7 linked regions of the Callithrix jacchus genome follow. The protein of the gene in region 7 interacts with the protein of the main gene of each other region in a biochemical or structural test. Links are inferred from orthologs where the notes say so. Each region holds a gene or a part of one and is shown on either strand. Other genes may lie near its edges.

What was found.
Region 1: the proteins of KIT (region 7) and GRB7 form a complex in vitro, tested with the Homo sapiens proteins (3 studies listed by BioGRID and IntAct, with this or other methods). The link is inferred for Callithrix jacchus from reciprocal best matches to the Homo sapiens genes KIT and GRB7.
Region 2: the proteins of KIT (region 7) and MATK form a complex in vitro, tested with the Homo sapiens proteins (2 studies listed by BioGRID). The link is inferred for Callithrix jacchus from reciprocal best matches to the Homo sapiens genes KIT and MATK.
Region 3: the proteins of KIT (region 7) and PTPN6 form a complex in vitro, tested with the Homo sapiens proteins (2 studies listed by BioGRID). The link is inferred for Callithrix jacchus from reciprocal best matches to the Homo sapiens genes KIT and PTPN6.
Region 4: the proteins of KIT (region 7) and MPDZ form a complex in vitro, tested with the Homo sapiens proteins (2 studies listed by BioGRID and IntAct, with this or other methods). The link is inferred for Callithrix jacchus from reciprocal best matches to the Homo sapiens genes KIT and MPDZ.
Region 5: the proteins of KIT (region 7) and TEC form a complex in vitro, tested with the Homo sapiens proteins (2 studies listed by BioGRID and IntAct, with this or other methods). The link is inferred for Callithrix jacchus from reciprocal best matches to the Homo sapiens genes KIT and TEC.
Region 6: the proteins of KIT (region 7) and SH2B3 form a complex in vitro, tested with the Homo sapiens proteins (2 studies listed by BioGRID and IntAct, with this or other methods). The link is inferred for Callithrix jacchus from reciprocal best matches to the Homo sapiens genes KIT and SH2B3.

Annotation. Positions count from the first base shown.
Region 1 is NC_133506.1:120,193,756-120,197,780, forward strand, and holds the start of GRB7 (growth factor receptor-bound protein 7), read left to right. Parts: upstream 1-1,225; 5' UTR 1,226-1,314; intron 1,315-4,025. UniProt on the Homo sapiens protein: Adapter protein that interacts with the cytoplasmic domain of numerous receptor kinases and modulates down-stream signaling. Promotes activation of down-stream protein kinases, including STAT3, AKT1, MAPK1 and/or MAPK3. Promotes activation of HRAS.
Region 2 is NC_133523.1:3,553,209-3,556,067, forward strand, and holds part of MATK (megakaryocyte-associated tyrosine-protein kinase), read right to left. Parts: intron 2,542-2,859; coding exon 2,448-2,541; intron 991-2,447; coding exon 925-990; intron 1-924.
Region 3 is NC_133510.1:21,225,675-21,229,174, forward strand, and holds part of PTPN6 (tyrosine-protein phosphatase non-receptor type 6), read left to right. Parts: intron 1-2; coding exon 3-157; intron 158-2,293; coding exon 2,294-2,361; intron 2,362-2,451; coding exon 2,452-2,603; intron 2,604-2,699; coding exon 2,700-2,791; intron 2,792-3,153; coding exon 3,154-3,264; coding exon of another isoform or gene 3,265-3,268; exon of another isoform or gene 3,269-3,285; intron 3,286-3,473; coding exon 3,474-3,500. UniProt on the Homo sapiens protein: Tyrosine phosphatase enzyme that plays important roles in controlling immune signaling pathways and fundamental physiological processes such as hematopoiesis.
Region 4 is NC_133502.1:119,814,887-119,819,064, reverse strand, and holds the start of MPDZ (multiple PDZ domain protein), read left to right. Parts: upstream 1-1,378; 5' UTR 1,379-1,504; exon of another isoform or gene 1,505-1,670; intron 1,671-2,101; exon of another isoform or gene 2,102-2,471; intron 2,472-4,178. UniProt on the Homo sapiens protein: Member of the NMDAR signaling complex that may play a role in control of AMPAR potentiation and synaptic plasticity in excitatory synapses. Promotes clustering of HT2RC at the cell surface.
Region 5 is NC_133504.1:145,700,415-145,703,914, forward strand, and holds part of TEC (tyrosine-protein kinase Tec), read left to right. Parts: intron 1-1,521; coding exon 1,522-1,596; intron 1,597-2,329; coding exon 2,330-2,501; intron 2,502-2,619; coding exon 2,620-2,836; intron 2,837-3,500.
Region 6 is NC_133510.1:114,273,812-114,278,031, forward strand, and holds the start of SH2B3 (SH2B adapter protein 3), read left to right. Parts: upstream 1-1,420; 5' UTR 1,421-1,789; intron 1,790-4,220. UniProt on the Homo sapiens protein: Links T-cell receptor activation signal to phospholipase C-gamma-1, GRB2 and phosphatidylinositol 3-kinase.
Region 7 is NC_133504.1:142,097,158-142,101,103, reverse strand, and holds the start of KIT (mast/stem cell growth factor receptor Kit), read left to right. Parts: upstream 1-1,146; 5' UTR 1,147-1,204; coding exon of another isoform or gene 1,205-1,271; intron 1,272-2,073; exon of another isoform or gene 2,074-2,286; intron 2,287-3,946. UniProt on the Homo sapiens protein: Tyrosine-protein kinase that acts as a cell-surface receptor for the cytokine KITLG/SCF and plays an essential role in the regulation of cell survival and proliferation, hematopoiesis, stem cell maintenance, gametogenesis, mast cell development, migration and function, and in melanogenesis.

The sequences.
Region 1 (4,025 bases), on a different chromosome or scaffold from region 7:
GTGAGCCACTAAGCCTGGCGATGATGGCATTTGAAACCGCCCTGTAGTTATATAAACAAGTGTTTCTGACCCCAATGCTCGAAACTGCTTTTTCCAGTCTCACAACTGCCTCTTCCTGCACTGGAGAACCGTAGATGCTCTTCAAGATCTGTGCCCCCATCAGTTACTGCACATCCCCTTCTCATCCCAGCCTCTCACTTCGGGGCTAGTGTCATTATTCTCATTTTGCAGCTCCGGAAATGGAGGCTACGCAAGTCCTCGCTGCCTTTTCCCTGCCTGCAGTACAGCTATGGTATTCTGGTGTCACACCACCCACTCTAGTGTCCCTTTAGACTACTCGATTTTTTTTTTTTTTTTTGAGACAGAGTCTTGCTCTGTCACCCAGGCTGGAGTGCATGCACGATCTCGGCTCACTGCAACCTCTGCCTCCCGGGTTTAGGCGATTCTCCTGCCTCAGCCTCCTGAGTAGCTGAGATTACAGGCGCCAGCCACCATGCCCAGCTAATTTTTGTGTTTTAATGGAGATGGGGGTTTCATCATATTAGCCAGGTTGGTCTTGAACTCCTGATCTCAGGTGATCCACCCGCCTGGGCCTCCCAAAGTGCTGGGATTACAGTTGTGAGTAATCCCAGCACTTTGGGAGGCTGAGGTTAAATTTAAAAATTTAATTTTAAATTTAAAAAAAATTAAAAAAAATTTTTTTAAACCAGGCCAGGCATGGTGGCTCATGCCTGTAATCCCAGCATTTTGGGAGGACAAGGTGGGAGGATCACTTGAGGTTAGGAGTTCCAGACCAGCCTGGCCAACATAGCAAAACCCTGTCTGTACTAAAAATAGAAAAATTAGTTGGTCATAGTGGCGCATGCCTATAATCCCAGCTATTCGGGAGGCTGAGGCAGGAGAATCACTTGAACCCAGCAGGCAGAGGTTGCAGTGAGCCAGTGCACTCCAGCCTGGGTGACAGAGTGAGACTGTGTCTTAAAAAAAAAAGAAGGAAAGAAAGAAAACTCCGTGATTTAAAAGTCTTAAGGCTGCCTTGGCCTTTTTTCCAGTCCAGGTCTTAAATTTTTCCTCCTCTTCCACAATAATAATGAGTATGAATTCAGTTTGTTCGCAAAGCCTGCCTTGCTCTGAAGCATCCGACTGTGGAGAATCTTCACCCACGCCTGTGATTTGTGAGCCTGAAGAAAATTATCCATCCTTGCAGATGTGTTCTGCTGAGATGCCTCACACAGAGACTGATGGAGTCTTGCTCTGATACCCAGGCTGGAGTGCAGTTGCTGGATCTCTGCTTACAACACCTCTGCCTCCCAGGTTCAAATGATTCTCCTGCCTCAGTCCCCTGAGCAGCTGGGATTACAGGTGCCCATCACCATGCCCAGCTAATTTTTTTTTGTATTTTTAGTAGAGATGGGGGTTTTACATTATTTGCCAAGCTGGTCTCAAACTCCTGACCTCAAGTGATCCACCCGCCTAGACTTCCCAAAGTTATAGGATTACAGATGTGAGCCACCGGTCTGGCTGAGAAAGAAAGAAAGAGAGAAAGAGAGAAAGAGAGAAAGAGAGAGAGAGAGAGAAAGAGAGAGAGAAAGAGAGAGAGGGAGGGAGGGAAGGAGGGAGGGAGGGAGGGAGGGAGGGAGGAAGGAAGGAAGGAAGGAAGGAAGGAATTCAGTGATTTGTACAATTGCCTAACCATGACTACATTCCAATTACAGAACGTTTCTGTCAACCTGATAAGGTTCCTTCTGCCTGTTTCTGGTCGATCTATCTCCCAGTTCCAGTCCTATGCAACCACTGATCTGCTTTCTGTCTCTAACTTTGCTTTTTCTGGATGTTTCATATACACTATAATAATACACTATGTAGTCTTTAGCTTCTGGCTTCTTTCACTCAGTATGATTTTTGAGATGCATTCATGCTGTAGGATCTAGAGTAGTTTGTTCTTTTTTATTGCTGAGTAGTATTCCACTGTGTGGTTACACCACATTTTGTTTCTTAATTCACTAGTTTTTTTTTTTTTTTTTAGACGGAGTTTCACTCTTGTTGCCCAGGCTGGAGTGCAATGGTGCAATCTCGGCTCACCACAACCTCCACCTCCTGGGTTCAGGCAATTCTCCTGCCTCAGCCTCCTGAGTAGCTGGGATTACAGGCACGTGCCACCATGCCCAGCTAATTTTTTGTATTTTTAGTAGAGACGGGGTTTCACCATGTTGACCAGGATGGTCTTGATCTCTTGACCTCGTAATCCACCCTCCTCGGCCTCCCAAAGTGCTGGGATTACAGACGTGAGCCACCGCGCCCAGCTTAATTCACTAGTTGATGGATATTTAGGATTCCAGTTTTTGTCTATTTTGAATAATCTGCTATGAATGTTTATCTAGGTGTCTTTGTATAGATACGTGTTTTCATTTCTCTTGGGTTGATTCCTAAGGGTAGAACTGCTGGATTGTGTGGTAAGTTTATGATTAACTTTTTTTTTTTTTTTTTGAGACAGACTCTCTCTCCGTTGCCCAGGCTAGAATGCAGCAGTGCAAACACAGCTCACTGCAGCCTCGACCTGCTGAACTCAAGCTATCCTCTTGCCTCAGCCTCCTGAATAGCTGAGACTACAGACATGCACCACCATGTCCCCCTAGTTTTTTTGTATTTTTTGTAGAGACAAGGTTTTGCCATTTTCTCAGGCTAATGTTTAGCTTTTTAAGAAATGGCCAGGGTGGGGCACGGTGGGTCATGCCTGTAATCCCAGCACTTTGGGAGGCTGAGGTGGGCAAATCACCTGAGGTCAGGAGTTCGATACCAGCCTGACCAATATGGTGAAATCCCGTCTCCACTAAAAATACAAAAATTAGGGGCCGGGCATGGTGGCTCACCCCATAATCCCAGCACTTTGGAAGGCCAAGATAGGCAGATCACCTGAGGTCGGGAGTTCGAGACCAGCCATGACTAACATGGAGAAACTCTGTTTCTACTAAAAATACAAAATTAGCTGGGTGTGGTGGTACATGCCTGTAATCCTGGCTACTTGGGAAGCGAAGACAGGAGAATCCCTTGAATCCGGGAGGCAGAGGTTGCAGTGAGCTGAGATTTTGCCACCTCACTCCAGAGACAGAGCAAGAATCCATCTCAAAAACAAAAAACAAAAATTAGCCAGGTGTGGTAGTGGGCGCCTGTAGTCCCAGCTACTCAGGAGGCTGAGACAGGAGAATTGCTTGAACCCCAGAGTTGGAGGTTGCAGTGAGCCAAGATCAAGCCACTGCACTCCAGCCTGGGCAACAAAGCAAGACTATCTCAAAAAAACAAAAAACAAAAACCAAAAAGAGAAACAGCCAGACTGTTTTTCAAAGTGGCAGCACCATTTTACATCCCCACCAGCAATATATGAGGATTTGTCTCTCTATATCCTCACCAATACTTGTTTCTTTCTCTTTGGTTATAAGCATCCTAGTGGGCATGTCATGGTATATCATTGTGGTTTTAATTCTCATTTATCTAATGACTATGTTGTGTATCTTTTCATGTAGTTATTAGCCATTCATATACATATTATTTGAAGAAACATCTATTCAAGTATTTTGCCCATTTTTATTAGGATTGTTTGTCTATTATTGATTTGTAGAAGTTCTTTATATATTTTGATTGCCAACCAAAATATATACAACCATATATGGTTCTATATGATTTGCAACTATTTTTTCCCAATCTTTGGCTCGTTTTTTTTTTTTTCTTTCTTTCTTTGAGACAGGGTCTCACAGTGTCACCCAGGCTGGAGTGTAGTGGCACAATCTCGGCTCACTGCAACCTCTGCTTCCCGGGTTCAAGCCTCCCAAGTAGCTGGGATTACAGGCATGTGCCACCATGGCCCAGCTAATTTTTTGTATTTTTAGTAGAGATGGCCAGGCCCTGTGCATTATGTTGGCCAGGTTGGTCTGGAGCTCCTGGGCCTCAAGTGATCTGCCTGCCTCAGCCTCCCAAAGTGCTGGGACCACAGGCATGATCTATTTCACCTGACTTCTTTTCTCCTTTGT
Region 2 (2,859 bases), on a different chromosome or scaffold from region 7:
GGGCCAGATCTACTGTGTCACCTCTTTTTGCAAGGCTCTGGAGCTCAAAATGTTTTTTGCATTTTTATTTTTAAAATATTGATTGCTTAGGACAGAGTCTCAGTCTCTCACCCGTGTGGCGCGCAGTGGCATGAACACAGCTCACTGCAGCTTCAAATTCCTGAGCTCAAGGGATCCTCCCATCCCAACCTCCTGAGTAGCTGGGACTGCAGGCATGCTCCACCATGCCTGGCTAATTTTTTTTTTTTTTTTTTTGTAGAGATGGGGGTCTTGCTACGTTGCCCAGGCTGGACCTGAACTCTGGAGCTCAAGGGATCCTCCTTCCCTGACCTCCCAGAGTGCTGGGATTCCAGGCATGAGCCACCGCACCTGGCTGGTTTTTGCATCTTTAAAGGATTGGAAAAACAAATCAGAAGATACGTTTTGGGATATGTGAGCATTATATGAAATTCAAATTTCTGGGCCATCGTTTTCACGGCCACGCCCACACGTTTACATATTGTCTGTGGCTGCCTTCACTCCACAAGACAAGGGCAGGCTTGAGCCGTTGTGACACGAACTACCTGACCCACAGAGGAGAACGTATTTACAATCTGGGCTTTTACAGACAGAGTCTGCTGACCCCTGACGGACACCCCAGAGCCTTCCAGAATATTAATTTCAGGGAACGGTGTTCCAAGCAGAGGGAGTGTGGAGAACTCGCTAACGTCGACTGGGCACCTGCTTGAGTTACTGTACTCCTCATGACAGCTGCCATGACCCCCTGTTGCAGAGAGGGAAACTGAGGCTCAGGCGATTTGTGTGTCCTCAGGTGCACAGCTAGTAGGTGGTTAAGTATGGTCTGAATTCGGCTCTGTGACCCCAAAGCCTCAATATGCACCCTCCACCTTTCTTCAGCACCCCCAGCCCAGTCTGTCCACTCACCTCCAAACTCTCCCTCTCCGATCTGTGCTCCCAACGTCAAATGCTGCAGGTTCAGCAACCAGCCCGCTGTGGAGTGAAGACCCAGTCAGGGCGGTACTAGGCCCCCCAAACCCTCCCACTGGGGGTTCTACTTGGTGAGACTAGGTGATGTCTCACAGTGCTGCAGCTGTGGAGACACATGTGACTGGCTGCTGGGCCTGGCAATGCCCCTGGGACATGTCAGAGACACCCCACTCCTGGTACCAATTATTGTTGTTGGAAGCAACAGATATCTCAGGCTGACCTGAGCAAAAAGGAGCTTGTAGGAGGGACAGTGGGGTGAATGGTCAAAGCTGGGGGCCTGGCTGAAGACCCTCAGACTCCACACTTGCCCTCCAGGAACTCCCTGTCAGGCCCAGGGGGCAGTGCCAGGAAACGTTTCACGTCTCAGAGATAAGAGCTGCCCTTTTCTCTTTGGCTACCTGGAGACCTCTTGTCCCTCCAAATGCCCTCTGGGCTCTTCCCTACATAGTCCTTTACCTCTGACCACCGAAACACACACAGGGCAAAAGAATAAATAAAATTAAAACCCATAAAGGTTCCAGAATATTCCAGGGGTCTGGCCTCCCTGACCCTTCTCCCAAGCACTCCTGTGTTGGCCCCTCCACTGTCCTCTGGTTGGTTCTGCAGGCTTCCCCCTCCCTCCAGAAAGCGCCCCCTCCAAATGCGGAACTCCTAAGGGATCATTGGTCAGGGTGATGCTAGTCTCCACCTGGGTGCCATCCCCGATGGGTACAGACTTCCCCAGGAGAGATGTACTTCAAAGAGACAGACATGGGGTGGGAAGAGGCATTTGCTTTTGAGCTTAAATATTGAGGATTTCACTACTCAGGGGCTGGAAAAGCACTTCAGGCGAAGTGAATGGAATCAACAATGGCTCAGAGGCATGAAGGAAACGATGATCACAGTTGACTTGGGCGGGGTGGATGCGTGGAGGAAGGGCTTTGCAGATGAGGCTGGAAGGGTGGCTCGGGCCATGGGGGCAGGTTCTGGAACGTAGTAGAGCTGCGGGCCTCTCTCCCCAGAGGCAGGATCTCATGATAGAAAGATAACCTTGGGGCTGCACTCAGGGCCTGGCCTGGAAGGGGCACTTGCCCCCTGGGAAGGAGGTCCTGTGATGAGAGGGACTGAGGCTGGGCTGTGGGGAGGGGAGGGGAGCAGATGCACCAGGTGTTAGGAACCAGGCCAAAGAGGGAATGCTGGGGCGGGGAGGTGGGTGGGTGGGGCTTCGGGGCCAGGTTTCTGGCTCAGATGATATGGCGGATGATGGTGACAGAGATGAGCAGCAGAAGGTGGGGCCCAGTGAGTAAAGGACTGATCGGCGTCTGTGGACCCCAAGGCAGCCCAGGTCTTCTATCCCATAGCTGTGCATGGGGACAGGCTTGGGTGATCTGGCCTTAGAGGCCCAGGGCCCCAGGGTCCTTCCTCCTGGGCTGCGCTAATGTGGGCAGGGGAGGAGGTGGGCCCTCTCGAGCGTCCCCTACCCCTGGCCAGCTCCTCCTCTGCCGACTTGGTCCCGTGCTTCCGCTTTGGCCTCACCAGCTTGGTGCAGATAGCGCCCTTGTCCTTGGTGTAATGCTGCAGGATACGGGGGTGGTGGTGAGCCCCGCCCCAGGACAGGGAACCCCGGCATCTCGTCCCTTTCTCTGCTGGGCTCTGGGTGGGGTGGGCGGGACCAGGGAGGAGAAGAGAGGCTGGTTTCCATTGGAATGGGAGAAGGGGCAGGCCAAAAGGAGCGGAGGTCCTCTGGATTGCTGTCAATTTGGGGGGTCCTGGGGGTCCCCAAAGATGTCATCCCAGTCCCTGGGGGCAGACTCAGGTCTGGGGGGCCCAGGGAATACCCCCTTCATCTCCATATTGGAGAAGCACAGAGCTCAGGGGATCCCAGGTGGTCAG
Region 3 (3,500 bases), on a different chromosome or scaffold from region 7:
AGGGGGACCTGGTTCGGGAGATCTGGCACTACCAGTACCTGAGCTGGCCTGACCATGGGGTCCCCAGTGAGCCCGGGGGCGTCCTCAGCTTCCTGGACCAGATCAACCAGCGGCAGGAAAGTCTGCCTCGCGCAGGCCCCATCATCGTGCACTGCAGGTGAGAATGAGAGTCCTCATGGTAGCAGTGACTGCTGAGGAGTAAATATTGCTAAGCGCCATGAGCTGTTATAAGCAACATACATGTTAGTGCACACGTCTATTGCCTTCCGCTCACCCCCGGCTTCTTCTGGGTTCCCTCATGGCTCCAGAGCCTGGGGTGGAACATGGCTGGACCTGGTCCCACTTTGGCCCCCTGCCTGTGGGTGTCTTCCTCAGAGCCTTCCCCAGATGTACCATCTCGCCCAACCCAAATACAGAGGAGGAACCCAGGACTCAGCTGCTGGCCAGGCCCCAGCTAGTCAGGGCGAGGCCGGGCTGGCACCCACAGTAGGCCTGAGTCCCGGCTGCCCTGCTGTCTCTCAAGGTCCCACTCTGCTGGTTTCTTCTGGCCTCCCAGGAATATCCATCGTGCCTGTGCTCCCCATTCCTCCTCTTTTTCCATCTGTAGCCCCAGGGTTTAGGCTTCTTCCTGACTCCGCCGTCTCTCCCCCTTTCCCTGGCAGTTCCCCATCCTGGCCCCCAGGGTTGTATGGGGATGGGCGATGCCTTTCTGGGGGGTACACATAGCTCCTCTATCTACCCTCGTGTTTGTGATCAGGAGACCCCTGTAGGGTGCAGAGGTGGGGCTGCGAGGAGCAGGGGTCCCACTGAAGAGCCCACCATGCCGGCCTGGCCTAAATGGAAGAGAGGCAGCGGGTGGAGGGCCCCTCTGCTCACCAGCTGTGTGATCTTGGACAAATTGCTTAACTTTTCTGACCCTCAGCTTCCTCATCTGTAAAACCAGGATCTCAGGGTTGTCGTGAGACCCTATTGCTGTGGCTGGAATTCCATCAGCCCTCAAACACTGGCAGTTACTGGTTTAGTACTCATGCCAGACAGAGAATGGGGGAAACAGGGACCTGCCTTGCCCGGTCCCTTCACACTCCCTCTGTGGACCCCAGGTCTTTGATGGCCTCTGGCCTCCTCCTCTTCCCCCCAGCAGCTGTTTGTCCATGGGACAGGGCCAGTTGGCTGAATCTAGAGGTGCCCCGATGGGCTGTCTTGGGGCCGCAGCTCTGTCCTCTGCTCTCTCAGGGACAGGTCTATCCCTGAGAGCCACCCTCCTGCTCACCCACCGCACGTATAGTCACACACTTCTTGAAAGCCCCATGGCCTTTATTTAGACGTTACAGGAAGGAAGTGGGTGAAGGGGGGTTATTTTTGACAATCTGTGTTTGAAATTAGACAGTGCGACTCAGGGCACCAGCCTGATGGGCCCAGCTGAGGGTGGGCCTGGGGTCTCCCTAGGGTCTGCTTGCCCAGGGGTGGGAAGGAGAGAAACTTCCTATTGCACTGCTCCCCCGAGTCCCTGACCCGGCACCCCTGAACCCTGTTGTCTCTGGGCTGTCCTTTCCCAGCTGTCAGGGTTTGAAGAAAAAGGGAAATAAACCTCTGCAGAGAGAAGCTCCATGAATTTTTTTTTTTTTTGAGACAGTCTCACTCTTGTTGCCCAGGCTGGAGTGCAGTGGCGTGATCTCAGCTCACTGCAACCTCTGCCTCCCAGGTTCAAGTGATTCTCCTGCCTCAGCCTCCTGAGTAGCTGGGATTACAGGTGCACGCCACTACGCCCAGCTAAGTTTTGTATTTTCAGGAGAGACGGGGGTTTCACCATGTTGGTCAGGCTGGTATTTGAACTCCTGACCTCTTGATCTATCTGCCTCAGCCTCCCAAAGTGCTGGGATTACAGGTGTGAGCCACTGCACCCAGCTGGAGCTCCCTAACTCTTGGAGAGGTGGGAAGGGTTCAGGGTGCCTAGGAACCAGCAGGACAGTAGTGGGATTTGGGGGTCCCATGTCTTTCGGGGTGGGGACAGCTGCTCTCCAGGAGTGAGGATTCGGTGCAGGGAGTGGAGTAGGGAAGGATGGTGGCATCTGGGAAGCTGGCATCAGCACCACAGAGCCAGAAGTGGAGTGCTCCCATGCAGAGTCGGGCAAATTGTCATTGTCACTTGCCCAATGATGCTGGGTACATTCCCTTCTATTACTGGAGGCTCAGGCTGCTCCTGCAGTGCCTGGGGGTGGAGCTGAGCACTGGTCAACCCCCCTTCCCAGGAAGGGCTTGACTGGCCTCTGACGGCATCCCCGTCTCTCCTCAGCGCGGGCATTGGCCGCACAGGTACCATCATTGTCATCGACATGCTCATGGAGAACATCTCCACCAAGGGTGAGGGGCACCTGGGGGCTTGGGGGCGGGGTGAGCAACCCCTTGGTGTCTACCTGTGCCTAGGCCTGAGGTTTGACTGCCCCCACCCAGGCCTGGACTGTGACATTGACATCCAGAAGACTATCCAGATGGTGCGGGCGCAGCGCTCGGGCATGGTGCAGACGGAGGCGCAGTACAAGTTCATCTACGTGGCCATTGCCCAGTACATTGAAACCACCAAGAAGAAGCTGGAGGTCCTGCAGGTGCGTGCAGAGCAGGGCCTAGGGGGCTGCAGCGGGGGATGGGTGCCACCTGGCCCTGCTGGGACCACCACCCTCCTGCTATCCCTCTGCCCACAGTCGCAGAAGGGCCAGGAGTCGGAGTATGGGAACATCACCTACCCCCCAGCCATGAAGAACGCCCATGCCAAGGCCTCCCGCACCTCATCCAAGTGAGTGGCCCTGACTGCCACCTCCCGGCATCCACCCCTTTGTCCTGACCAGCCCGATCCTTGATTTCTGGAGAGGACAAGTGTTGCTTCAAGTTCAAGCTTGGTTCTCACGCCTTCTGTTAATAAGCATTTCCAGAGTGCCCCCCCACCGCCGCCACGTGTGGGCCTGTGCTAGGTAGCAGCAGTGCACTTGTGTATGAGATGTTGCCTCTAACCTCAAAGAACTTGGAGTTTAGTGCAGGGACAGTGGCTGGGCCACCTGTGAGATGGGGCAGCCAGAGAGGGTTGCCACTGCTGGGTCCCCCGTGCTGTCTCCTGACCTGTGCCTCCGGCCTGTGTTTGCCCCCTGCACCCTGCTGCAGACACAAGGAGGATGTGTATGAGAACCTGCACAGTAAGAACAAGCGGGAGGAGAAAGTGAAGAAGCAGCGGTCAGCAGACAAGGAGAAGAGCAAGGGTTCCCTCAAGAGGAAGTGAGCGGGCGCTGTGCTCAGGTGGCGGTGCTACAACTCTTCTGCCTGGCTGTCCTCCCTGTCCTGCCCTGTGTCCTTGGCTCCACTGCCTTCCCTGGGTGGATGGGGTGGTTGCAGCCTCACTCTGCCCTTCCCAGCTGCCCCAGACCTCCTTGTTCGCCCTCCAGGTTCCAGCCACCCTCTCACTCCCTAACTCCTTCTCTTGGCAGCCTCAGCCCAGACCCTGCGGAAGCCTC
Region 4 (4,178 bases), on a different chromosome or scaffold from region 7:
CTTGAGCAGAAGTATCATGGTTGCATTTTTTTTGCAATCTAGGTTTGAGACAAGTAAACAGGAAAGTCAAATAAACACTTGAATATATAGATAAATCTGAAGGTATAAATTTAAGATTCCTTAGCTAGTAGATGATAAGCTAGAAGTGAAAATGTATTTAGAAGTAAGAGTTAAAAGGAAAAGAGGGCCCCTAACTGATTCTTAAGGAAGTCCAGCATCTAAAAGTTGGGGGACAGGAGGCAAATAAGAGTGAAGAGTGGTCTGCTGACAGAGGCAGATCTACCTGGAAACTCATGCAACTTAACATTCTGGGTCCTTCTCTTGCCTGGGAGGAACCTTAGCAAAGTGTTTACATGGGCATATATTTTTCGAATATTAAAAAAAATATATATATATATTTGTTGTTGAAGCAGAGCCCCCAGTTGCACAAGCTTCAGAGCCCATGCATGGGCCCTTGACCAAGAGGAAGGAGCAAAACCAAGGTGTGATTGCAGGGAATTACAGGAGGAGTGGGGTGCGGAGGGCTCTAGGAAGAGAGAGGTCAATAGCTGCGAATGTGTTTGAAAGGCCAAGGAATATGAGAAAAGAATATTTTTATACCGAATATTAAAAAAATTCTTTTAAATGTTCTAAATTGGACTTCTGAGTATCCTTTGGTCCTATACTCTAATATTAGAGGGATGTATTAAAAAAGGGTTTCTTATGCAGAAAAAGATTCCTGGGACTTCCAAATTGAGGATAACAGACAATCTTAAGTGGCACAAATAGAAATGAATATCTGTTCTTCCCAGCACCATGCAACTCCAATCACCTTTCCATGTTTACTGTTTTTGCTTTTTAATTGGATCATCAGACTAAGAATGCACCCTGATGTGTGAAAAGTCACTTACAAAGTGAGAAGACAGCCCCCTCCTTTCTGATTAAAGCGCTTCTCACCAGCATCCTATGCCACTTGGTAAGCTACCCATGCAGAAGGCATCCACAGGGGAGTGTACATAAAGAAAATTTGAGGAACTAGAAACAGGGTATCAGCTTCCGCAGGTAGACAAAATCGGCACACAAAAATATTAGTGTCATTACATTTGAATTTCCGATAAACAACGAAGAACTTTTTGGTGTAAGTATGTCCCAAATATTGCATGGGATATACTTGTACTAAAATGCTTCTTTTTTTATTTGAAATTCCCATTCAACAGGGCAGCCTGTATTTTATCTGACCACCTCACAAGTCCACTACCCATACCCCAGAGGCTGAGAGGCCCAGTGGCGAATTTAAAACCCAGCACCGGCCCGCTCGGCCGCGCCCCCTGATTGGCCGAGGCGCGCCCGCCGCCCCGCCGGTCGCAGGCGTCACCGCAGACCCGGCAGCCTGGGCCCCGCCACTGCCTCCGCGGCAGCCCCGGTCGGCGCAAGTGCGGCGCGCGCTGGGGGAGGGGGCGCGGCGGAGCGCGAGGCTGGCGTCGGGCCGCGGGCGGCCAGACGGGATTAAGTTTCTCAGTCACGCGTGAGTGTCTGTGCGCGTTGATTCCGAAGCTCCTCGCCGGCCCGTTACTTCAGAAGAGAAGAGAGCAAGCGTGGGCGAGGCGGGGCATCCCGAGGCCCCGGCGACCCCAGCTCTCCAGTCCTTCGACCCTTTCGTGTCCCTGCCCGGGGCGGCCGCCGCAAGCTGGGTAAGCGGCGCGTGAGCCCCGGCCCGGAGGCCCAAGCGCGCCCCCGCGCCGTGCGCGCGCGCCGGCGGGGAAGGTGCGCGGGCGCCCGGGGCTCGGCGCGAGGGGGTGGGGGTGGGGGCGGCCGGCGGGGGCGGGTGCGCTCGCCCCACCCCGCGCGGCCCAGCGCTTAGCGGAAGCCGCTGCGCCGGCTTTTTAAAAGGATGGGGTCTAGAAGTTTCCTTTGCTACTCTCAAGTCTCCACCCCCCCAAGCCCCGCGATGGATAATCCTAAACCTTTCAGCCACCCTCTTTCCGTCCTTTTGCTTTCGCTGACTCTACGAGCTTTAAAAGTTTTCCTTCTTCCTTGACCCGGAGGGGCACAGTCTTGGTGTCGGGGGCGGGGTAGCTTGTGGACCCGGAGCGCAGACCAGGCTTCCGGGGCGCGGGAGCCTGTTGCTCTCTGCTGCCAAGGCCGCGCCCGGAGGCCCCATCTTTCCTTACGCGGTGCCGGGATGTGCGGGGTGCGGTAGCGAGTGGGCAGCATTGCTCCTGGCCCTGCCTTCTCGCCTTAGAAGTGGGGGACCCGAGGCGAGCCACTAATTGGTACCGATCCCCCGCTCCCCACCCCTGGCGTGCGTGCCTTTTAACCGCCGCTCCCGTGGGTGGGAGCATTTTGGGCTCGTCTCTCCCTTAATAATCCCCTCACCCCCCGCACTGATGGGCGCCTTTGTCGGCGATTTGGCAGTCCCGGGTTGCCGGATGTTCCTAGGGAAGCGATGTTTGGGAGACGCTTTGTGTCTTGTGGAGTTGCGCGTGTGTCAGGTGGGATGGTGGACATTTTTGCCTGCATTTTTTGCAGAGGCACAAAGGCTGGCCTATTCTTCCCTGCAGTCACTTGAAAATTCAAGCAGAGATTGCGGGGGAGGAGAAGTGGCCAGGCAGCGGCGGGAGGTGGAGGCTACTGCTTAGTCACTGGGGGCTAGCAGAGGGCCCCCCGGAGGACTCTCCTCCGCGGTGGAGCTGTTGAGGTTGCTCTGCCTGGGAAGACCTCGGCAGTGGGCACTGATTGCCTTTGTGCAGTGGGGGCTGCGGTTGCAGGCTCGTGTTTAGTAGGTATCATCAGATAGATAAGAGAACCATGACTTCACTGGCCAAGAAGGAAAACTTCTCCATGTTCTTTTGATATCGTGGAGGAGGAATCTGATAAGTGACCAGACTGCCTCTTCCTGCATTGTGGATAGTTTGATGTAAACATCCCCTTCTTGTTTCCCTAGAAGTTACTCGTTTAAATTACTCTTGATAGAATAAATAACACTTTATCCGGAAACTAACAAGGAGGAGGTGATGGTTTCGGACTTGGGAGTTTTACATGTTGAATTTGGGTGTAAGTGATTACAATGAACTCCTTGTAATGTTCGAACTATTTAAATTTGTATAATGTACGCCTTAGCACCTGATAGAATTGTGGCAAACAATAGTGTTAAACCCAGCAAAACTTGGCTGGGCACAGTGTCTCATGTCTGTAATCCCAGCACTTTGGGAGGCAGAGGCGGGTGGATCTCGTGAGGTCAGGAATTCCACACCAGCCTGGCCAACATGGTTAAACCCCGTCTCTACTAAAAACACAAAAATTAGTAGGGTGTGATGGTGGTAGTCCCAGTTACTAGGGAGGCTCAGGCAGGAGAATCGCTTGAAGTCGGGAGGTTGAGGTTTCATTGAGCTGAGAACACGCCACTACACTCCATCCTGGGTGACAGGGCAAAACTCTGATTCGAAAAATAAATAAATAAAAAGTAAAAGTAAAAACCTAGCAAAACTTGAAGTTCTTTGGCTTGATCTTCAAATAAAATACCGTGCTTTGGATAGATGCACTTGTGCCCTTGTGTGCAACGTAGGCAAAACTAGTTTTGGGTGCCCGTTGACTGACTCTCCATTTCGCTATCTCATTTGCTAAAACTGATAAAGATTGTTCTCAACATATTACCAATAGATTATGGTCTACCTTATTTCTTACATATGTTCCTTTTCTTTCCTTTGATCCTTTCTGTATTCTTTCCACTTACCTTCTCTAGTTCTGGTTTTCTGTGTCCCTTTACCACACTCCTTTTTTACTTTCTAGGCCTCATGGTTGTGGCTTGGGAATGGAGGGATGTTTAGTCAGTTTTTAGTGTGCTTCAAAGTCCTATCATCTAGACATTGCCCTCATGGGCCCTTAAAGATGTCTTTTCCTTTCAGGATGTCTTTAAATGCACCTATCTGTGAGGAATAGAGGCTATTCTCAGAGTTTACTGTCTTTCTGCAAGTTGAAGGTATTCAGAGAGGAGATTCTTTGAAATCTTTGAAATGTAACTTTACATGGATTTAGGCCTACTTGGGCACTTTTAGTTGTTAACTGCTAGGGTGGAGAGATCTTGCTTGACAAATGACAAGGAAGTAAATCCATTGTCTAGAATTGAGATTAAGGGATTTAAAATCTGAAGAAGAACAGTGAATTTCCTGGAAGGTCACTATCCTGAGTTAGAGGCAGAT
Region 5 (3,500 bases), about 3.6 Mb from region 7:
ATTCTAGACAATGTAAATCACCATTAATGTTTATTGCTGTGATGGACTTCCTGAACACATTGTTAGAAATTGGTTTGTGGCCAGGTGCTGTGGCTCATGTCTGGAATCCCAGCACTTTGGGAGGCCAAGGCAGTCAGATCAGCTGAGGTCAGGAGTTCGAGACCAGCCTGGCCAACATAGTGAGACTCCGTCTCTACTAAAAATACAAAAATTAGCTGGGTATGGTGGTGTGTGCCTGTAATCCTAGCTACTTGGGAGGCTGAGGCAGAAGAATCTCTTGACCCCAGGAGGCAGAGGTTGCAGTGAGCCAAGATCGTGCCACTGCACTCCAGCCTGGGCAACAGAGTGAGACTCTGTCTCAAAAAAAAAAAAAAAAAAGAGAGAGAGAGAAAGAGGAAATTAGTTTGTACCAGGAGGCAGGAGGTCCAGGAGAAGATGGAATTTCTAAATTCAGGCAGCCTACTGGTAAAAGTATCCATTCCTTTGTATTGACAAATAGTAATTTATTGTATGCATTTTGTTTATTGTTCATCAGTTGATGGACATTTGGATTGTTTCCACATTTGGTCTCTTATGAATAATGCTTCTGTGAACAGTTGTGTACAAGTTTTTGCATGGAAATATGTTTTCATTTCTCTTGGGTATTTACCTAGTTATCAGCACACTGCATCATATGGCAACTCTGTTTAACATTTGAGGAACTAAGTTCATATCAATTTATTCCCAAAGAACCTTTTCATATCTCATTTTGTTGTTTTCTTTTTGGGGGTTTTTGCTCCCTAATTTTTTTTCTGTGTTCTTGTATAAGTTTTATTCTTCACTGTCATCTCAGTTCATTCAACAAACATGTATCAAGTGCCTACTGCATGTCAGAAACAGAGCCAGGTTTTGGGGAGATTGTGGTGGACTAGGGGTAGTCACTGATCCTGACTTTTCCAGACCCTAACACTTGGGGGGAGACAGAGAAGTATGTAACAATTTTAAATTTCTCTGAAATATCCTGTAGTAGAGGTAATACAGAGTGCTATAGGTGTTTATGGAAGAGGCACCTCCTATTTCTTACTTAGTGCTGTAGGCAACTTGGGTTAAAAGGTCCACACTGATTCCCAGTAGTTAGTATTCCCAGTTGTTGGTATCTTAGAGCCCAATCTTTATGCTAAGATCCTGAATACTGAGTCACATCACGTGAATAACTTTCATTTTTAGCAGACTGATATAATTCACTTTCATAGCTCAGCTCTCATATTGGAAAAGAACATGAAATAACTTTTAGAAACCTTTTAACATCCTTTAAAATATTTGAGAAAAGACAAAACTAGCATGGTGCCTGATGAACACTGTAGGATTTAAAAGAAAATGTTTGTTGAATGAATAAAAGCATATAGCATGGTAGTGTATGTACACACAGAGGATGAGCAGAAAATGAGTAAATGATGAATTTTATCAGTGAGTTTCCTTAGCATTTTACCAAGCAGAATGATTATGAGTGAGTTTGACTGCAATGCTCTCTTTGATTACTAGGACTTGCCACCCGGCTTCGGTACCCAGTTAGTGTGAAGGGGAAGAATGCACCCACCACTGCAGGATTCAGCTATGGTAACTCTTATTTTGCAGTTGCATGAACTAATTTTCCTTGAAAAGAATCCATTGTCATGAGATAAATTTGGATGTGCACTATTTCATGTACTAGAACTGTTTTTTTTTATAAGTTTATAGCATGGGTTTTTAGATAATTATATTTAAGACCATAGCAACTTAGGTATTCTATTTTCATCATTATTCATAATTCCGTAGAAAGCTTTCTGTCAGTGAAAAATAAGCATTATCATGTGAGCATCTAAAATAAATCAAAGCCCTTCTTGGTTCTCACCAGCTTTATTGGTTACAAGAACGTGAATAAGAATGGAGGCAAGAGAGAAAGCTTCCAATTTAATTGTCTTAGTTGCTTCTGGCAAAAGCCTTTAAAACAGCAGATTAGATTATTTCCAGCTTGATGGAATTGAAAAAGAAAAAAAAATGAGAAGGAAGAGTGGTAAAGAAGGAAGTGTTTGTTTGACAAAAGTACCTTTAACTTTCAGGCTATATTATTATTAGCCTGGTATGCAGAGTTGTCTTGCCTTCATTTCACGTTGGTTAGAAGGCATACATCCTCTCCACCTTTTGGAGTTCAGATGCAGGTTTTAAGTCTGTTCTGTGTTTTATCAGGAATTATTACAGTGTTATCCTGTAATTTTTAGGTTGATCTTGGTTATAGGTTCTTTTTTCCCCTCTCTGATTCATGCTATGTTTTCCTTTTTAAATATGAACGCTTTCCCCTTCTGTCCTGCAGAGAAATGGGAGATTAACCCTTCAGAACTGACCTTTATGAGAGAATTGGGAAGTGGACTGTTTGGAGTGGTGAGGCTTGGCAAATGGCGAGCCCAGTACAAAGTCGCAATCAAAGCTATTCGGGAAGGTGCAATGTGCGAGGAGGACTTTATAGAAGAAGCTAAAGTGATGATGTAAGTTGCTGTCATCTTTCTGGCTCACCTTTTCATATTAAAAAGTGGCCCCTCACCAAAAACTTGGTAGTTTCTTTTCCTGTAGTAACTTTATATATATGTATGTCTTCCTTCCCAGGAAACTGACACACCCGAAGTTAGTGCAGCTTTATGGTGTATGCACTCAGCAGAAACCAATATACATTGTTACTGAGTTCATGGAAAGGGGCTGCCTTCTGAATTTCCTCCGACAGAGACAAGGTCATTTCAGTAGAGACGTGCTGCTGAGCATGTGTCAGGATGTGTGTGAAGGGATGGAGTATCTGGAGAGAAACAGCTTCATCCACAGAGATCTGGTAACCCCCTAGCCACCCATATTCCCATTCATTGGCTGAATTCCTTTGCAACATGGGGTCAGCAAATGTGCAATGATGTATTAATACCCAAGTTTTGTTCTTAATGTTTCACCATTATTTTTAAAGTTGGTAAATTTAACTTGCCCAGTAATTTTAAAGGAAAGATCTTCATTAAATCTAATGATTTGCCTAGTTAACATCTCCATGCAAGTTTCCAGGTTTTAATTTTTTGATCTCCATAAGAATCCCATGAGACAGCTACTCACAGTGGATTCTCTTACCATCGCTGTTGTATAGATGGGAAAATTAGCTTCAGGGAAGTGAAAAGGCTTGTCTACTGTGATAAATAGGGAAGCTGGGGTTGGCCTTGATTTTCTAACTAGATCCCAAGTTATTTTCCACCTCACGCACTATAAACAGAAACTATAAGAGAAGTCCTTTGGATTTTTAAAAAATCTCTTAAATCACAGAGAAAACATGGAGACTCATTTTAACTTCCCAAAATACCAGAAAAAGAAATTTGTTACTGGTTCTAAATTACTATGTTGGGGACAGTTTTTTCCTTCTCAACTGTTTTCACTCTCTCCTCCATTCTTCTTTTCCTTCTGTTTTTTTTTTTTTTTTTTTTTTAACCTGGTCTTTACAACTGTGTCTGTTTTCAGCA
Region 6 (4,220 bases), on a different chromosome or scaffold from region 7:
TCAGCTCCACGCAAGCAGAGATATTTGTGTTGTTCACTGCTGTGTTCCCAGAACCTAGAACAGTGCTTGGTGCGTAGTAGTTATTTCATACCTGTGTGCGGAAAGCAGATTTTTGTAGCCCTTGTCTTCAAGATCATTGGACACCAGGAATCCTACAGCAGGCCAGCTCCCTTCCCCCATCTACTTGGAGCCTGGAAATCCCCACCTTCTGGGGAACCCCTTCCTGTAGCTCGAAGGCCAGGACTCCCGGCTTTAACAGAGTGCTTCCTGGAGCCAAGTCTCGAGCTAACTGCTTTAATGCATTAACTCACTTAATTCTCACTGCCAGGAGAGTGGGTACACGTTATTTCCATTTCATAGGCAAGGAAGTGGAAGTACGGAGAAGTCAAGTCATTTGCCCGGGTAGGAAGAGGGGGAGGCAGTGGAATGGAGACACTTGCTGCCCGGGAAGGCTTGAGGTGGCTCCTCCAAGCTGGGGGCGTGGGCGACTAGTTTCCTGTTGGGGGAGGGGGAGAAGGGTAGACATTCCTCCCTCCCGCCCTCCCACATGTTGGGGGAGAGGCTGACTGAGAGCATGCCCCACTCCGGACTAGGGGGAACCCCACTCTCCGTCTCTGTTCCTCATGAGGCCGTGGGGAAAATCAGTAGCCTGGAGGCTGGTAGGGGGGTGGGCGCAGAGGCCACGGGAGCCAGCGGTCGGACAGGGCTTCCTGGAGAAAGATGCACCGCTCCTAGAGTTGGGGGACAGGACGGGTGGCCGGAGGGAGGCTGGTTTATACTAGCACCGGCTGTAGCAAAGGCAAAGCTGAGGGTTGGGGGCAGAACCCAAATTGGGGGCCTGGGGCCGTGGCGGATCGGCTCAGCACGATCGCAGATAGTCAGGGCGGGGCGGGGCAGGGCTGGGTTGTCTCCCTCGGGCGATGATGAAAGCCTGGGTCGCTATTGCACTACCCAGCCCTGCGGGCGCTGATAAGACCCTGCAGGAGGGAGTCAGACGAGCCCCTTGGAGGCCAGACCTCTCGACCCTGCCCTCCCTAGGCCCCGCCTCTTCATCTGGCCCCGCCTCCAGGCGCCGAGGCACCGGGTGGCCGGCTGGCTTTGAGTGGGTGAGGCTAAATTCGTCCCGCCCCTTCGATCCTCCCTTCTTTAGGCTGTGAGACACAAAATCGAGTGGGCACGTGGTGGGCGTGACTTCGCAAGGCCCTGCCTCTTGCCTGGCCCCGGGTGGCAGAGGCCTCAGACCCGGTCCTCAGCAGACTAGCGGGATTGGTTGGCGGGACCAGCCCAGGCTCCGCCCTCATGTCCCGCCCCACCAGCTGAGTCTCCGGCTCTTGGGCTGCCAGGGGCGTGACTTCTGGTGGCCCTGCCCCTTCCCCGCCCCTGTCGCTGCCGCCCTCCTCCGCCAGGCTCAGCTTGCACTGTCGATACCTCTTTACATAACGGCGCAGGGCGGCATGGGTCTGGGCCACCGCCTCCGCCCGGCTGCCCGCCCGGACTGTCGCGGCCCGCGGTGGCGACGGCGGCGGCTGCAAAGTTTCCCAGGCGGCGGCGGCCCGGGGGAGCATCCTCCCGCAACTGTCAAGCGCTGGCGGCGGAAATGATGAGGCGCTGGCCATTTTCCGAGCTCGGGTTTCCTGCCTGAGCCCGGCTCCATCGAGCCGCGAGCGAGAAGCCGGCGCGCGGGAGAGGACGCTCCGGGGGCGGGGGCCCACCCGCCCCCTCGGGATTTCGGGGGCCCGGGGACGCGCGACGCCATGGGCCGGCCGGGCCCGGAGCCCCTGTCTCTCAGGTGAGTCCGCCTTTGCCGGCGCTGTCCTCCTCCAGGGCCGGCAGGGCTTTCGTGGGGGAAGGGAAGGCCCCGTGTCCAGTTCTGCCCGGACTCTGCGCGTCACCCCCTGCCCAAAATACTGCCCTGCGGCTCAGATGGAGGCGTTCGGGGGTGACGGCTCCCAGCACCTGCGACCCCCCCCCAGCTACCACCACCACCACGCACACACGTGTTGGGGAGAGCGTTGGGGTAGCTGAGGCCGTGGGAGCGGGGAGAGGGTATCGCTGACGCCCCCAGCCCACGCCCCTCAACTTGTGCTTGGGGAGGAGCGGTCATTGCTACCTTGAAAGTGAAAGTAGTCAAACTGAGGCTATAAACACAGATGAGCCCTTGGGTGTGGAGGCAGCGGGAGAGGATGCGCCGGCCCCTCCCCACCCCCATTCCGGGCCATGTGGCTAAGAGGGTAGCGCCCTGATTCAGGAAGCCCCTCTCCCCACTCCCTGCACTGCCGAGGTGGGCCGGGCCAGGCCCCCGTATGCTGCTGAATTGGGCGGTTCACCAGGGCTAGGGGTCCCAGAGACAGGTCTCTGGGACTGATCTTCTCACACGTCCCACCTGGGGTTCCCTGGGAATACCCCGACCGAAAAACGTCAGAAGGGGGTGTTGGTCTTCTAGATCCTGACGATTGGAAGGGTATTTCAGAGGCTTCTGATGCCTGGTGCAGAAATCCTCTCCCCTCCCTGCCTCCTTCCCTCCCTCCAGGGAAGCTTTGTTTTGAGGGAGGGGACTGCATTTGAGGAACCGGAGAGGGGGGTCTGCCTGCTTGTCCCGCTTTATTTTCTTTAGTTTCCTCGTTTTCCTGTTTCTCTTCCCCATTCCCAACCACAATTGCTGTAGGTGAGGAGGTCACTCTCTGCAGCTGGGGGCCTCCAGGGAGGAGTACGGCCAGGCTGGGCTGAGTGGGAGGAAATGAAATCCGGTGGGGTATTCGGAGCAGAGTCCTGGGCAAAGCGGTGTGGGCAGGGCCAGCTTTCGTGGCAGGAGGGCTGAGATCTGACCCACAGCCCCTCGCTGGGGAGATGACAGTTCCCTCACGCCAGCCAGCAGCTAGGCATCAGGGCCCCTGCCAGGGCAGTGGGCGTGTGGGTCTCCAGGGATGCAGGCACACGTTGTGTCTGGGTTTCCCATCACTGACCTGGCCACTCTGGAGGCTCCTCTGGACCTGCCTTCGTGGAGGGAAAGCTGACAGAGGCCACCTGGGCAGGCTGGGCTTGGGGGATGAGAGCCTGGGCCCACTGAGGGAAGTTGGAAGGGTTTTTAGGGCACTTTTCCTGAGCTTGTTCCCACAACCCCACTCTGGGAGGGAAAATCCTTCTGAGCCAAAGGGTGAACATTCTTAGAACTTTCGCGAGTCCCTATGGGCCACAGAGCGGACAGCTGGGAAGGGGCTGACCCGAAGCATCAGCAGCTGGGGGGCTCGGCCTTCAGGGGCTCAGCAGGAAGCGGAGTAGGATAGTGACGAGGGTCCTGGAGACTACACTTCGCTGCTCCCACAGCCTCCATTCAGCTGAAGGCGTGGGCAAGTGACTTGTGAACCTCAGTTTCCCCCTGCATAAAACAGGGTAATAACAGGTTTGCAGTGGAGATTTAATGAGCCAGTGTGTAATGAGCACCTGCTGCCTGGCAAAGAGAAGCGATTCAGTTGCAGGTGGTGGTGGTGCTTTTATCATGGCCTTAGTGAGTGTTATTGTTATTGGCTGTGAGCTGTTCCTTCTGCAGTCCCCCTTGAGCATCTGTTGCACACATACCACTGGAGTGTCCAGGGTGTTTGGGAGCAGAATTTTGAAAATCTGGGCACTTTCTTAGCCAGGAGGCCTTGCTGAACTGCCCCACCTCAGTTTCCTCATCTGTGAAGTGGCTGTGCTAATAGCACCTACTTCTTAGGGTCATGGGAACCATGAATGAGTGAATTCAGAGTCTAGAATGGCTTGGTCAGGAGGAAGAGAAGTAGCCTTGGGGCTGGGATGATATTTTTTGTTGTGGATGTTAGCTCTGCTGGCTTTCCTTCCTCCTCCCCCTCACCCCCATGCCTCTCAAACCTGGGCCTGATGCTCCTCCTCTGATAAAGAGAACTTTTGAGTACAAATCAGATCCTGTAGGACAGCTAAGTCGGATTTCTGGCTCCCGCTGTGCCAGCCCCGGCTATTCTCTATATCCTGGGTGGAGCAGAGCTGGAGGCACTTGGAGGGACCTCCTAGCCACCAGTCCCAGTGCCACCTGTTTCAGGTGAGGAGAAACCAGGTGCCCTCCCCAGCCAGGGTGGGGAGAGTCATTGAAGGGGTCTCGGGGACATAGTAGGGAGCTGTCCCTCAGTCTGGGCCAATACAGCTCCTTTCGCTGAAAACACCTTTGGGGCCCAGTTTACATGACCACATACCCTTCTGAGGGATGA
Region 7 (3,946 bases):
TTAAGCTCTCAGGAGGGATGTCTTATTAGTTTATCAAAATGCTTAGGGGAAGCTCATCTTTCTTGGAGTAGGTCTTCAAACAAGGGTTTTTCCTTCGCTACAATAAGAAACATACCTGCTCTATACCCCTCACAAAGCTGTTATCCTGAGCATGAAAGAAGAGTCGGTGTGGAGAAGAACTAGTAACCCCTACACTGTTGCTGCTTTCCGTTCAAGGATCCACCATGAGACCGTGGGTAGAGCACTTTCTGGGCAGTGAAATCTGGCTTAAAAGAATCGTTGTACTTTTATCTTACTCCTGGGACCGGCAAGAGCAGTTAAGAGGAACACAGGGATCCCTAGCCCTGAAACCGTCGTCTGATACAGAGGCAGAGAAATCATTACAGGGGTTGGCAGCATTGGGGTGGGGGGAGAAATGTGTAAGAAAACCTGGGCTCCCAGAGCAAACTTCGCAGCGCGCCCCTCCCCACTCCCTCGCCCCAGTCTCCACAAAAGTCCGGGTACGGGCTTCTTGGGCGTAGGCCAAGCCGACCAATAGGAACTCACTGTGTCCTTACATGTTACAAAGCAGGTGGAGAAACTGAGCAGAAACAATTAGCTAAGCCAGGCTCAGCCTTTACCGCGGTGCCAGGCGCTCCTAACAGGCCTGGAGGGTAATGTCGGGGCTCAATTTCCTACCGCTCCCCTCCCCATCCCCGTACCTCCACCACCAGCGGCGTCCAGCCTACTCTCGCTCGAACGCGCCGGAGGGGCGGGGAGCCGACCTTTATTGTCTGGAGAGCACCTGGCAGGTGGCGGGCCCGTGCCCTAACGTGCGCGTGGTGCCCAGCTTCACAAAGCCAGCGGGCAGCACCTCCCTGGTTCGGGAACGGCCTCGGACGGGCAGACCACATCCCGGGGTTGGAGAGGTGGAGAGAGAAAGGGGCTCCGGGGTCAAGAGCCAGCGGCAAGGGCGGGCACAGCCCCCCCGGCATTAGCACGTCGAAAGAGCAGGGGCCAGACGCCGCCGGGAAGGAGCGAGACCCGGGCGGGCGCGAGGGAGGCGAGGCGAGGAGGGGCGTGGCCGGCGCGCAGTGGGAGGGCGCTGGGAGGAGGGGCTGCGCTCGGCGCTCGCGGCTCTGGGGGCTCGGCTTTGCCGCGCTCGCTGCACTTGGGCTAGAGCTGGAACGTGGACCAGAGCTCGGATCCCAGAGTAGCCACCGCGATGAGAGGCGCTCGTGGCGCCTGGGATTTTCTCTGCGTTCTGCTCCTCCTGCTCCGCGTCCAGACAGGTGGGACACCGCGGCGGGCACCCCGGCCGTGCGACTCCTCGGCGAAACCTGTGCCTGGGAGGGTGGTACACGCCAGGGTGCGTCCGGAGGGGGAGCTGCGGGCCCTCAATACCCTTGCGTTCCAGCCTCCGGGGAGACTCCAGGCGGCCCTCGGACTCTCCAGAGGCCTGCCTTGCTCACCTGTGCGAGGAGACCTCAGCTGCTGGTGGTGGGGGGCGCGAAGCCGGGGTTCTTTCGGGAGTGGGGACAGCAAGGGGGTTAGGCGTGAGCGAGGCTGCAGGCTGCATGTGAGTTTGGGGTAGCTTTTGTGCCGATGGTGCGCTGGGGGCGGAGGCGGGCGGCTCAGGGGTTCGCACCGAGCGCCTTATCTCTCCGTGCGAGGCGCGGCCGCAGATTCCTTTTGTTAAAAGTTGCGTGTGTGTAACCGGTGCCCAGGATGACCTGCCCACAGGTTCTCCGCCACGCGGAGGGCAAAGTTAAAGAGCCCTTTCTCTCCTCTGCGGCTGCTGCCTTCCAACCGCAGGCGCTCTTTGTGCCCAGAGCTGGGGACCGACCCGCTGCTGCCTCTGCTCGCGGCGCCACCCGTGGAGACGAATCGAAGGCTGCAGCGTTTCCCCGCCTCCTGGTTAGGGTTTTGCACGGGAAGCGTGCGGCGTGCGAGTGTGGGGCTGGACCCCCGTGAACCTGGCGGTAGTGGCGACGGGGACAACTTGGGTAGGGCGTGTGGAAAGCAGCCGCTAGGTTGCAGACTTTTTGCTTTCCTACATCGCGTGCTCGCCTCTTTCTGCCGTGGCGCCGTTTCATTCCTGCCAAGCGCCCCGGGGCTGCTGGAGGCTGCGTTTGCCGCCTGCTCCTCTAAGGCAGCGGACAGCGTGCTGATACTCTGCGGTTTCTGACCCTGGCCGCCTAGCCCGCTGGCCCAGTGCCTGGCCTGCCTGGCGGGCTCTGGAAGCCCCTAGTCCGGCTGCCTGCGAACTGTATTCGCAGGTCCTTATTTTCTTAGGACATTTTTGAGGTTCGTAACCGCCCGTCTCTCCACTCCCGGGGCGTCGAGACTTCGGGGCTGCCTGGGGATGGAGAGGGAGATGGAGTGGAACTTTTTGCAAATCTTAGTTCTTAAAGCTGTAACAAAAATCTAGGTATATTCGCGTGGGAACTTGGGTCTTAGGTGTAGGACTTCCAGGCTGCTGGAGCCGCTCGGTCAGATTCCTGCCTCCGGTTCACTTGTTTTCTCGGTGTCGCTGGTGCGCGCGAGTGCAGGTCGCTCACTGAAGCTAACCCCTGAAGCCCTGTTCTCTTCCAGGTCATTTTAAAAAACAAACCTTTAAGGTTACCCTGATGATGTAAGGATAGAAAGTGAGTCTGAGCTGGAATCAAGTGCTTGAAAGGAAGCGGCGCAATGAAGGGTTGTGAGACTGTCGACTATCGGTCAGTTTCTCTAGAAAGCTTCCAGGCGCAGCCTCCCGGGTCCTCGTCTTGTAACCATTGTGAGGGCTTTCCTGTGGGGGTAGAGAGGCCTTGCATCTGGACCCCTGCGCAGCAGGAGGGGTCAGCAGGGGTCACGCGGGAGTCTTCGGATTCCCTGGAGGATTTGATTACCTGTCTTAAAAAGACTCATCTGGTCTTTGTTTTTGTGCCTTGGCCTTTTTAATATCAGTTAAGGTATGTGAACTAGACCCTACTAGGAGACTAGAAAGACAGCCCACATTGAATATCTGCCTTTTAAAAAATTAAATGAATCAATGGTTTCCTTCTTCCCAGTAGATTTTTGGCAAAGGAAATTTGAAGGTCTGCCTCCTGGGGGGCAGTGTGGTATAACGACCAAGCCTTGCTCTCTCCCCGGGATTCTCCTTTTCTCTGCCATTCCTTGGCTGCGTGTCCTTGGGCAGGGTGCTTACATTCCGGGGAATCCAGTGTCCTCCAGAGTACAAGGGGGCATCTGCATCCTGAAGTATCCTTTGCGTCTAGAATTATCCTCCAATGTTCTAAGTGTAGACTCAGCAGTCTTTTCAACTATTTCCCTGGTCTCTGCCTGCCTCTTTGAAATTCCTCTGCCTCTCCTGCTCACAGGGACCTCATAGTGTATGGTTGCATCTGACTGGAGCTGTGGCTTATGCTGCCCGCCCCTCAATTCCCATATATTCCTCTGCATTGCTCTTTGAGGGCTAGGAGGTACCCACTTTGTCCTAACCCTCATTCTTCTCCTCCCCTTCCCCCCTACAACAGTATTACAGCTCCTGTGCCTAACAGGATGAACCTGCAAGGAATAGTGAATCATACCTTCTCGCCTCGTTCCTGCAGGTGTGAGGCTGGAGTCATTCTCAGCAGCTGGACACAAGGCACTCTAAATTATCCTGCTGGAAATAATAAAATGGTCTTATAAAGAGATCCCAGACAATTCATTTATCCCTATTGTTTTTCCCCCCACTCATCCCCCTATTTTCTTCTCGTGACTCTGTAAATCCCGTATGCTGTGCATTTACAACATACTTTCTAACGCATCTTAAATTCCGTATGACATGTGTGATACATAGTTGTTGCTCTTCAGTTGGAAACGATGTACCAGGCCCGGTGCTTGGGGCTTTACCTGCTATTTCTAGTAGTCTCAATGAGCCCAGGAGGTAGTACTATTACTCTAATGTTTTACAGCTGGAGAAACTGGCAAGAATAAGCCC